4 linked regions of the Saccharomyces cerevisiae S288C genome follow. The main gene of each other region encodes a partner of the protein of the gene in region 3 in a complex. Each region holds a gene or a part of one and is shown on either strand. Other genes may lie near its edges.

Region 1 (2,532 bases), on a different chromosome or scaffold from region 3:
TATTTGTAATAAGAGAAAGCTTACCATTTTGCAGAGGATGGAAAGACTTAGGTCTATAAAATCAGCCAAATGGGAGAAATTGAAAAAATTTGAAAGCACTCTGATGCTTATGGGAAAATGTGTTCCTATTAGCACAAAGACTAAGACAGATATGATAAACCGCATAAGACAGCTGGCTGTCAGAATGGACTGGTTAATCTACGAAATTAAGAGAAGCGAGCTGTTTGTAAGTATCATAAAAGAAGTGACTCGCAAGCAGGCTGAAAAGAATATCTTAGAGCATGGTAAAGGAGAAGAGGAGGGGCAAGGCAATAACGACGATAGTGATGGTATAGATGATATAGAGGAAAGCTTCTTATTCAACGAGAACAGTTTGCAAGTGTGCGTGAGCGACAGTAGTTACGACGAATATAGTAACGAATAAGGGGAAGAAAATAGTACCATGGGTTATAAATGCATGTTATTTATTTATATATTTTTACATATTCTATATGTATGTGTTATACCTTTTTCTTTTTCTCGAAATGTCTATCCAGTCTATTGCTGCCAAGGTTTAAGATCCTAGGACAGCCATCTTTATCTTTACCTAAGCGGCAGCACTCCCAACAATAGAATGCGTCATTGACTCCAACATTTAGATTACAAATTATACAATTTTTAGCTTGTTTACCAAACGAACAGTTTTCACATACTCTAACTTTCCTTTTGGGCCTTACATAAGAGTCGCAGATAGGACATTTGCCATCACATTTTTCACAAAGAAGACCTGTCTGTACACCAGGCTGCTTTAGGCACATTATTAGATCAAACTGATGGCGGGACATGTTTTTTTTGTTGGAGGCTTGTATGTGTGTGGATCTTTTTTGTATCCATCTTCATTTTCTATGTTGAATGCCTTAGTAAGTGAGAAATATGGCAAGTAATGCATATATGGAAGAACAGAAAGTGAGAAAAAAAAATAGAAAAAAAGATGCAAGGAGTTGAGCCAAGGGAGAGACCATACCCTCAGCCAAATATCCAAATATCATATAAAAAGATGGAAGAGTGTCCTATTTGTTTGGCAGATGACCAAGAGGGTGAACAATTTGGATGTTTGAACGTTTGCGGGCATAAATTCCACTTAAACTGTATAAGAGAGTGGCACAAGTATAGTATCAACTTGAAGTGCCCCATCTGCAGGGTTGAATCCACCCATTTAGAAGTTGGCGAAGGGCAACATGCACTTTCTATAAATTTGAAGATGGGGTTTATGATTAAGAATGCTATCGATTATGTGGGGGCCGAAACAACTAACGAAAGAAATGAGGACGATACAGGGGAGCAAGACCAAGAAATAGAATTTCTCAGCGAAAGGCTTAGAGGTACGCTGGTGATGGATACCATTAAGATAATTCAGTGCAGCATATGCGGAGACACAGATGTTTCTCGATTAAGCCTGTATTGCCAAGACTGCGAAGCAATATATCACGAAACATGTCTACGCGGGCTAGCTTGTGAGGTGGGCGATCGCAATACGTGGCAGGAGTGCACAGATTGTAGATCAAATGCATTGCTCGAGCTGCGCATGGGTGCTATCAGTAGCCAACTTGCTAGCTACGATTCCAGGAATTCCATGATTTTTGCTGGTGAGTTACGGGACAAGCACAGCGTCAAGACACAGCAGATGTATGAACAGATACGGAATGCCAAGCACAAAATCCAGATGCACGTGCGACGAGCACTGGACCGGTACCCACTGCCTCTGCTGCGCTTCAAGGATGCCTACAAGCACGTCAACAAGCAAGTATCCCGCAAGTTGTACCGTCTCTCTGACAACAAGTACCTGCCTGACCAGTACGATTACGACTCTTTAGCCCGAACTGGAGTGCACACAGAACTCCTAATTTACTGTCATGATGAGTAGTAATGCAATATAACATTAAAACAAGATATAAACAGTATAATACTCTAGTATGAGCCCTAAAAAAAACCCTCAGAAGCGGGTGACCCATCTCTCGTACGACGTATAAAAGCACAAGTTTGACCCATAGAATTTTTTTTTCACATCTTCCTTTGTTTGCTTCTTCGTCTTCAATAGAAAACAGTTGAACAAACTCAAATATAGCACCATTGTGAGTGCTACTGCACTACAAAGAGGCAGATTAAGCGACCAGTAGGTCCCTTGGAAGAGATAATATATGAGTTCCTTTTTTCTTTTTCCATTTTCTTTCTGTGTGACTCCCCTATGATTAAAAATTATTAATCATATACCAATTGTTCCGACTGAATAGTGGTTTAACTACATGTCGACAACCCTTTTTCGTTAAGTTTCAGCCTTGTATGAGGGGTGCCACGGAAGGGAAGAAAAGAAAGCATTTATCTTTCATTATTATCTTTTTCATGCCTGCAATGGAATTTTTAATTTTCCTTTTGATATGATGATTTGTTGTCGACCGGGCGGACATATTAGTATCTGTTAAAGGGTCGCCGTCTACTCTCATCGTTCTTTTGTGTACAAATTTTTTAAAGGAGCGATGTTGATGGCATTATGGT
Region 2 (3,210 bases), on a different chromosome or scaffold from region 3:
TCCCTCTGAGAATCACTCAAATTTTTGATTACATTACCAATATCGGCTTGCCTGACTTGTGTCAATGCTTCAAGGACGCTCTTAAAATATTGCTCCTTTGTTGGAGCATCTGCACTGTATGGAGGATCGGTTGTGAGTAATTGAACGGCTCCCAAAGAGTCACCACTTGTGGCAAGCGAGCGCAATTGATTCATTCGAGGTTGTAATTCTTGTAATGTGACAGTAGTTTCGTATGGTGGTACCAGATCGGCAGCGGTTAGTCTGCCACTCTCTGGATCAAATGCATCGATGTCAATTCTCCTCCAATCGGCTTCCATTGCTTGATCGTTCGCGTGTGTTGTGTTGAGTCTTCTCTGGTCTCCTTTGCTATAGTATCTTGTGTTAAATGCGGGCTGTTTTTCTCTTATTTTGTTATAGGGGCAAAGTCTGAGAAAGGGAAAAAAGTATCCAAATTAACTGATGTGCGGGTAATCATAGACAACAAGTAGCAGAGTTTAAGTATTACTTATATTCAATAGTCGGGCGCTTCTTTGGGAGCTGGTTGAGACTCTCGAGTCCGTGAGTTTCTAGATTTATATACAGAAGTAACAGCAGCAGTAGGAGTGGCGGCGGAGAGCAATGGCCTGTTTCCACGGTACCTCGCGTCCAATGTGGAACTGCCGTATCTATCAGCGCTATATGCGGAGGAAGAAGTTTCCCTGCGTGGCAGCCTGGGAGCATAATTTCTTTCGGCGGGATTTGATGTACTTGCGCTTGCAAACCTTCCTGGAAGCCTGCTGTCTCTGTTGGAATAGCCTCTGCCTCCTAGGCCGCCGCCCAATCTTCTTGGCTTGAAATATTTAACGGTTCTGCCTCTTTCTATGTCGACTATGCAGATTCTGTCTTTGATTTGGATACCTCTGTGTACTCCAATCTCCTTGAATGCCATTTTACTACTTATTGGGTCTTTGAAAACTATGAAGGCGTAGCCTTTACTCTTCTGGGTTATCTTGTCCTTGACTATCCTAATTTTTTCGATCTCGCCAAACTTAACAAAATACTTTTGCAGTTCAATTTCGTCAAGATCGTATGGTAGCCTCCCAATAAATATCGTTCTGTAGGGATCTGTGTCCTTGATATGAGGGTCAACGTTAGGATTCCAATTTTGTAGTCTCCGGTCTAACAATTGAGCATTTTTGATCTTGGAAAGTTTGATGTCTTCGTATCTTTGGAGATGGTTGTTTGGAGATCCTTCAGGAAACTCCTCCATATAGTGCTTCAAAGAGGTTGATAGTAAGTTTGCAACGCCAGTGATATTTGGATTTGTTTGTCTCTTCGCATATGGGTAATCGGTTGGTCTTTTGTAAGATAAAGGTGGCCTTGGCTTGAAAAGTCTCGACACGTCGTCTGGATACTTGGATAGATTATAATTCATCAAGGTTGAGGTGCCGATTACTTTTTTAAGGTTTCCTTTCGACAGTCGATGACCGTGCTGTGTGTCATTATCTTGCAGTTCTTTTTTTCTTCAGATGCGTTAATTTCCTACGAAGGGCGCATACAATGGTGCTGATGGGATTTATGAGCAAAACAAGTAGGCGAGCAAGACATGAACGAAATTGTAATGAAGCGTACTTCCTTTTCCCTACAACCTTAAAAAGGTCTCACTGATATATCCATTCGCAATAATGACAAGATTTTTGCATGGGACTTCTTTTTTTCTTTTGAATAAGTCGCGTTATAAGGACAAAACATTAAAAAAAAATATGTATTGATTCACTGATTTATATATACAGAAGTAAGTACCGGGGTACCTAAATATACGCATAAAAGTCTCTTTCTTTTTTTTTTTTTTTTTTTTAGCTTCCTACATTTCGTTAATAATATTATATAGATTATATTTATATTTAAGAAAAGTAATATCAGCATATTATGAATAGACAAAAAAGTCTAAGGTCAAGATTTATTAAATGTTAGATTATTAAGATTACAATTAACAACATTTGTTGTTACTTCATAAAATTTCGTTACTTCATAAAAGAACTACAGTCCCCCACTTCTAAATGAGTGGTTGTAGGGGTTCATATACCTCCCATACTGTTGGAATAAAAATCAACTATCATCTACTAACTAGTATTTACGTTACTAGTATATTATCATATACGGTGTTAGAAGATGACGCAAATGATGAGAAATAGTCATCTAAATTAGTGGAAGCTGAAACGCAAGGATTGATAATGTAATAGGATCAATGAATATTAACATATAAAATGATGATAATAATATTTATAGAATTGTGTAGAATTGCAGATTCCCTTTTATGGATTCCTAAATCCTCGAGGAGAACTTCTAGTACATTCTACATACCTAATATTATTGCCTTATTAAAAATGGAATCCCAACAATTATCTCAAAATTCACCAACTCTTCACATACATACCTGCGGTAGCAAGATAGGTACACTTTTTCTACGTTTCACGAAGGTAGCGATAGGTACCTCACTCATTGTAGGTGCGGGGGTAGCGATGGAGGTTTCTGTACCATTACCACCACAGCCACTATACTCACGTAGTGAAGTCCCTAGCGTGGAATTGTGTGGTATCGTTGCTATCTGTCGTTCGCCACCCTCGGTATATCCAACGTGCAGGCCAATATCACTCTCTAAGAAAATCGTATCAGGATTGGTACGGACAAACTCTTCATAGCCTACGTCGAAATCAAATTCTGCTAAAGCTGTGACTGTAGTTAAACCTAAAACCGCGATTATTGCTTGAAAAACTGTGGAGAAATTCATGATGGACGGTCACGTTCAGGGTCTGAGAAAACCACTCATTCCTATGTCCCATGTGGTTGGTTGCAATTTGCTGCTATATATACGACTTGGCTGTAGAGAGATCTACGTAGGATGTGTCCACTATCAAGGGGGGTTTACCAACGTTATCTTCTATTTTAAGTGCTCAAATGAAGGTTGCATTATATCCCTGGCAGTTTTCCCGGCAATTTTGCCGGCCGCTTATAATAGTCATGGTGAAAGGATTGTTGCTTGTTGTGGTTGCAACATGACAGTTGCCTACTAACTAAATAATAATCAAAGTCAGTTTCTCAACAATGGAAAACCTGTTGTGACCTTATCGAAGTAACAACATCGTATAATAATTAATCTGGAAAAAATACCATAGTTACTGCCGATACAGGTCTACGTGACTTACTGACAAACAGACTGAGTGACTACGA
Region 3 (3,055 bases):
CACCTTTCGATCTGCCCGGCGATGTAACACCAGCACCCCTTTGATCAAACGTAAATGACTCGTAACCATTGAGTGATAAGTGGTCCATAAGCCGGAATTGAATCTTTGTGTACTCGCCAAACCCATGAATCAGTAAAACTCTACCTCTGACCTCATTGGTGCCATTTTGAACAGGCCAGAACATGTACCCGAACTTAGCACCATCAAAGTTTTCGTATTGAAGTTCAGGTACTGTCGTCTGCACTTTGTATGGATACGGAGCCATGCTTTTCTATTTGTCCTCGGTTTGTGTGGCTTTGGCTTGCTTTAGTCAACAATGGCTTTTCCGATATGTATTCATTTATAAGAAAATTCAATGAAAAAACGGCCAGACACTTCGAAGTCCGAAGGGGCTGTCGCCCCTCGTAAGTAGCGATGGACGCTATAGTGTGGAAGCAACCACAGTAGCACAGCATCACAAGAGATCATGATACCAATCGTACGTTCCTTACTTTTCTAGGTCATTTGAGAGACTTTCCTCGTTTTATAACTATCCCTAACGGATTCGTACGCACAGAGCTTTTCTTCTGTATTTTTCCCTTAGTGGATGTAGGATTAAACAACGGAGTTCTCTTCTCATCGTTGTTATTGCCAGGTTTATTGGTACGCTGCCTGTGATTGTCAAATACCTGATCTACGAGGTTGTCCAGATCATCAGTCGTTACTGCTTTTTCTTGTTGTGCGTGTTTGCTGCGGTTTATCATTTCAGCTCTCTGGCTCATTTCAAGGTTTTTTTTCCTTAAATTTTCAAGTTCCTCATCATCCTCTTGCTCTTGTTGAATTTTGGCTAGTCTTTTTTCCAGCAAATCCATTTTGTCATCTGCTTGCTCCTTTATACCCATCTTCTCGTTCTGCTCCATTTCCTTCTCTCTCACTAAGCGTTGCAGTGTCTCGTCTATGCTTTCGACAGCTGTTTTAGCGTTCAGGTCATCATTTGGTTTCTGAGGGACATAGTTTCTTACGCCCCCCACTTCCATTACATAATCTGAATTACCGGGGTCTGTTCTAAATGCAATGGAATTGGCACAACGTGGACATGAAATGGTTAGTCTATATATCTTAATGGAGTCCAGGTACTTCTCCTTCAGTAGCTCTTTCTTACCATTGAATTTTCTGCTTTTGGGAATATATTCGTTACATTCCAAACACCTCATACTAAATGGGGTCATTAATCTAATCGATGCGTGGCTCTTATTCATGGTTTTCAGTTTTTTAGCCATTTTCCTGGATAGCTTTTCAGCTTCCAGTGGGTTGTAATCCGGTGGATAGTACTTGTTAATAGCTTTTCTTTCAGACATTCTTGTATTCTCCTATCAGCCTGGAAACGGTTAATTTGGTTTGACTTATTAGTTCGTTCTACTGAGGTCACCGTAGTGATTTCTTGCTTTTTTTCGAATATGTACAATAAATAACAACTCTATGCGTATTAGCAGTCAGTGGAACAAACTTGAGATAGCTACTCTTATCTCCTTTTCTGTATATCCATCTTTCTACATGCAGCAGAGAAACCGCCGGCGGGACATTCACCTACTTTTCTACAAGTTTAAATTTTTCAAGCGAATCGGGGAATGTGAGAGCTGCATGCAAGAAAAGGAATGTAGGTAGGAGGACAATGTAAGAGAATATTATGGGCCATTTCATATTACATTACGCTATATGTAAGTGATCATTATGTAGAAAGCTATATTGAAGGAAATAAAACATGCAGGTTTTGTTCTCGTACTTACAACAAGTAAGCAGCTGCGACCGCTAGAGCACCAGCACCCATGCCGACGGCAGCCTTGGCACCTGCATTTTCTGTTTGTTCGTAAACTGTGTTTGGAGCTTGGATTTGTCCATCAGTAATTTGAGAGATAACTGAAGCAGTTGGGGAGCTAGCAGAGGAAGTTTCCACAGTAGTAGAGGTCTCGACAGATTCTATACTCGAACTATGCTTTGTAGAAGATGATGCGGAAGCAGACGAAGCAGAAGCAGATGAAGAGGAACTAGAGTCGCTTGGAGAAAAATCTGCTGCAACAGATCCGCTCTTACTAGTTGGTCTAATCGCAACACCGGTAGCGTCGTCGGATTGCTTAGAAGAGAAAATGTAAGACGACCCGTCCTTGATAGCGTAGAAACCAGAAGAGCTCTTGTAGTTTAGATGGCCATCTTTAATAGAAAAACCAGTGGCAGCATCGCTCTCAGAACCTTCTTTGAATGAGCCATCCTCATTGACAACAGCATACTTATCGTCGTCAAATTTCAGTTTACCGTCATCGGTAATAGTTGCCTCAAATGAGCCACTACCGCTGCCAAGTTTCAAAGTGCCGTTATCACTGTAAACACTCAAGTATTGTAAATCCGAGCCGGAACGGATACTCACCAGGCCGAATTCTTCGGAATCGGCAATGACCATCTTAGCCAAGGCGAATAAAGCGACAGACAAAGCAGTGGAGAATTTCATTATTGTTTTTTGAGACTTTCGTAGTATTTATTAGTTTGTTACGGGATATTTTACTTCAGACAGAAAAAAAATTCAAGGAAGATAGCGAAAGAAAGAAACGTTAAGATCGTCCTTTAAATAATTGAGATTTTGTTTGTTTGCTTTTTTTTTTTCTGCACCACAAATTATCAAAATTAAAAGGTGAAAAAACACTACATTGAACGTGAACCACAGAGCTTATTGTTTGTTGTTTTTTTTGTTTTCTTTTGTGGCACCTTCGAGATGGCTCTCCTGGAGTAAGTTACCGTTGTGGGACAACCCGCACGCACAGACGTAAGCGGACCCGTATTCCAATCGGGCCGAAGGGCCCTTTTCGTTCAGGGAGCTGTGGCTAACGCTATTTTTAGTTATGACGTACGGTGCGGCACCATCTATAACGCGAAGAAGTACTTTTTTTAGCTCTCTTTTTTTGTTTTCGCGGGAGGGGTTTGTTTATTATGATATTTTAACGGGATAGAAGGTCGAGCACACAATGTTTGCCGTCAAGAGGGGTATCTGCTTCTATATTCGTAACTTTCCAGATGTCCGATTTTT
Region 4 (3,391 bases), on a different chromosome or scaffold from region 3:
GGATGTACAAATAGCAAGATTTAGACGTGTAGCGGGTCTGCCAAATGTAGATGACAAAGGAAAATCTATAAAAGAGAAAAAACCCTCATTAGATGAAATAAAAAGTATAATTAACAGAACTTCCGGTCCATTAGGACTGAATAAGGAGATGTTAACCAAAATTCAAAATAAAATGGTAGATGAGAAATTCACGGAAGAAAGCATCAACGAGCAAATTCGTGCCTTGAGCACTATAATGAATAATAAATTCAGAAACTATTACGATATTGGCGATAAGCTCTATAAACCTGCAGGAAATCCCCAATATTATCAACGGTTAATAAATGCCGTTGACGGTAAGAAAAAGGAAAGCTTATTTACTGCAATGAGAACTGTATTATTTGGTAAATAAAGAGCACATTATTTTCTAAGCTTGTAAATACATATTTATTCATAATGGAGAACGTTATTCAAATTTATCTGTGAATTTCTTTACTCGAGGTATACTTCCGCAAAGGAAATTCTACTTAGCAAATCCTATGGTAACGTCATTGTTTTGTAGCTTGTAAGTGGAGCCTAACTGATTCTTGATTTTCGTAGCATCAGCAACGGTCTCGTATTCCACGAAAGCTAGGTTACGAACGCTAACTAATCTGATTTCAACTAAAGCCTCATTGCCAAGTATTTGCGACAATAATTGCTCGGTAGTGCCGCTTGGCAAATTTTGTATAAGAAGGACTTTGTTCGGTGGATTTTCCATTGTATTGGACACTTTAGCCCGCTTAAGAGGTTTCTGCGATTGTTTTAGATTTTCTTGCTGAGACTTCATGTTTTCCAATCTACGGGTTTCAAATTCTTTTACAATCCTATCAATCTCAGCCTCCTCTACCTTTCTTGATCTCAGCTTATGCTTCAGGCGTCTTATTTGCCTTTTAAGCCTGAACTTTTTGGCGCATATATCATCACTACGTAACTTGCGTTTAAGTTTCCTTGCTTTAAGCACCTTCTTTATATCAAGGTTGTACGTTTCGTCATTACCTTTTTTTTTTTGCATTTCTATTGAAAGACCCAATAACGAATTTGTTCGAGCCTTTCCCATTCTCACTTTACGACCTTGAACTTTTAATGCTGTTGTCGTGTATTTTTCTAGAAACCGGTCTGCTTCTTCTTGAGTGACAAACGTTAAAAATGCTTGGTTAGTCATCTTTGATGATCTTGAAATAGAAACTTCAAGAAGGCCCATTTGATCATCTAGTAACATCAGCGGTTGTGATGATATTTGTAATTTATTGTGGGGAAGGGGTAGCGACGGATTAATGGCATACTTGTTGTTGGGATTAATGTGTTTCAGAAGTAATCTGGTATAATTTTCTTTATTTGCTGGCCTACTGGGTAAATTTTGAAAGTACAGTCTGTTTTTATTGGTCATAGAGTATAGAATAATGAAAACGTTAGTAGAAAGAAGATTTAAGGAAACGTAAATTACAAGGTATATACATACGCTGACATGGTTTCTTTAGGTTTGATGAGGCCGTCTTTTGTTGATAGCAGCTTTTTCCATTTTTTTTTTTTTTGTTTCGAGTAACGTATGGTTTAGTATCTGTCTTCTCCTTCTCTTACAAAAAAACCCTTTGTAAAATAGTGCCGAGTTGGAGGACATCAATCTGATGGGCAAGAAAACACCAACCCCCCCTATATGAAAAGAAAATGATAAGCAGATAGATAAAAATACTTAATTAACTAATACATAAAAATAAGAGGTATATAAAAATATTATATGGAAGCAATAATTATTACTCTTATTTCTTAGCAGCCTTTTGAGCAGCCTTGGTAACCTTAGCGGCCTTTTCAGTCTTGTCAACAGACTTGATAACACCGACAGCGACAGTTTGTCTCATGTCTCTGACAGCGAATCTACCTAATGGTGGGTATTCACTGAAAGCTTCAACACACATTGGCTTAGATGGAACGAACTTGACCAAAGCAGCGTCACCGGACTTCAAGAACTTTGGATGGTCTTCCAACTTCTTACCAGATCTTCTGTCGTTCTTTTCCAACAATTCGTCGAATCTACAAGCAATGTGAGCAGTGTGACAATCCAAAACTGGAGAGTAACCAGCAGAGATTTGACCTGGATGGTTCAAAACAATGACGGTAGCGTTGAAAGAAGCGCAACCCTTTGGTGGATCGTTCTTAGCGTCACCACAGACGTTACCTCTTCTGATTTCCTTAACGGAAACGTTCTTGACGTTGAAACCAACGTTGTCACCTGGAACACCTTGTTCCAATTGTTCGTGATGCATTTCAACGGACTTGACTTCAGTGGTAACACCAGCTGGGGCGAAAGTAACAACCATACCTGGCTTGATGACACCGGTTTCAACTCTACCGACTGGCACAGTACCAATACCACCGATCTTGTAAACATCTTGCAATGGCAATCTCAATGGCTTGTCAGTTGGTCTAGATGGTTGTTCAATGGCGTCAATGGCTTCCAACAAAGTCTTACCCTTGACGACACCGGCCTTGGTTTCCTTTTCCCAACCCTTGTACCATGGAGCGTTGGTGGTAGCTTCAATCATGTTGTCACCGTTCCAACCAGAGATTGGGACGAATGGAACAGTCTTTGGGTTGTAACCAACCTTCTTGATAAAGTTGGAGGTTTCCTTGACAATTTCTTGGAATCTGGATTCGTCCCATTTGACGGAGTCCATCTTGTTGACAGCAACAATCAATTGTCTAACACCCAAGGTGAAAGCCAACAAAGCGTGTTCTCTGGTTTGACCATCCTTAGAGATACCGGCTTCGAATTCACCGACACCACCAGCAATAATCAAGATAGCACAGTCAGCTTGAGAAGTACCAGTAATCATGTTCTTGATGAAATCTCTGTGACCTGGAGCATCAATAACGGTAACTTGGTACTTTGGAGTTTCGAACTTCCACAAAGCAATATCGATAGTGATACCTCTTTCTCTTTCAGCCTTTAACTTGTCCAAAACCCAAGCGTACTTGAAAGAACCCTTACCTAATTCAGCGGCTTCCTTTTCGAACTTTTCGATGGTTCTCTTGTCAATACCACCACACTTGTAAATCAAATGACCGGTAGTGGTAGACTTACCAGAATCGACATGACCGATAACGACAACGTTAATGTGAGACTTCTCTTTACCCATGTTTAGTTAATTATAGTTCGTTGACCGTATATTCTAAAAACAAGTACTCCTTAAAAAAAAACCTTGAAGGGAATAAACAAGTAGAATAGATAGAGAGAAAAATAGAAAATGCAAGAGAATTTATATATTAGAAAGAGAGAAAGAAAAATGGAAAAAAAAAAATAGGAAAAGCCAGAAATAGCACTAGAAGGAGCGACACCAGAAAAGAAGGTGATGGAACCAATTTAGCTATATAT

Evidence for each region.
Region 1: YJU2 (region 3) and RDS3 share a complex: the UniProt entries of both Saccharomyces cerevisiae proteins name them as parts of the spliceosome.
Region 2: YJU2 (region 3) and SNP1 share a complex: the UniProt entries of both Saccharomyces cerevisiae proteins name them as parts of the spliceosome.
Region 4: YJU2 (region 3) and MUD1 share a complex: the UniProt entries of both Saccharomyces cerevisiae proteins name them as parts of the spliceosome.

What each region holds. Positions count from the first base shown.
Region 1 is NC_001148.4:718,929-721,460, reverse strand, and holds RDS3 (U2 snRNP complex subunit RDS3), read right to left. Parts: upstream 825-2,532; coding exon 501-824; downstream 1-500. Other genes in the region: Arf family guanine nucleotide exchange factor SYT1, read left to right, coding at 1-424; ubiquitin-protein ligase ASR1, read left to right, coding at 1,037-1,903. UniProt on the Saccharomyces cerevisiae protein: Required for pre-mRNA splicing. Involved in regulation of drug sensitivity and may play a role in multidrug resistance.
Region 2 is NC_001141.2:244,146-247,355, forward strand, and holds SNP1 (U1 snRNP complex subunit SNP1), read right to left. Parts: upstream 1,415-3,210; coding exon 512-1,414; downstream 1-511. Other genes in the region: ARC15 (Arc15p), read right to left, coding at 1-317; YIL060W (uncharacterized protein), read left to right, coding at 2,247-2,681; YIL059C (uncharacterized protein), read right to left, coding at 2,405-2,770. UniProt on the Saccharomyces cerevisiae protein: Involved in nuclear mRNA splicing.
Region 3 is NC_001143.9:260,559-263,613, reverse strand, and holds YJU2 (mRNA splicing protein YJU2), read right to left. Parts: upstream 1,338-3,055; coding exon 501-1,337; downstream 1-500. Other genes in the region: YJU3 (acylglycerol lipase), read right to left, coding at 1-265; CWP1 (Cwp1p), read right to left, coding at 1,763-2,482. UniProt on the Saccharomyces cerevisiae protein: Part of the spliceosome which catalyzes two sequential transesterification reactions, first the excision of the non-coding intron from pre-mRNA and then the ligation of the coding exons to form the mature mRNA.
Region 4 is NC_001134.8:477,435-480,825, reverse strand, and holds MUD1 (Mud1p), read right to left. Parts: upstream 1,489-3,391; coding exon 1,481-1,488; intron 1,392-1,480; coding exon 503-1,391; downstream 1-502. Other genes in the region: CBP6 (Cbp6p), read left to right, coding at 1-391; TEF2 (translation elongation factor EF-1 alpha), read right to left, coding at 1,779-3,155. UniProt on the Saccharomyces cerevisiae protein: Involved in nuclear mRNA splicing. The principal role of the U1A is to help fold or maintain U1 RNA in an active configuration. It is the first snRNP to interact with pre-mRNA.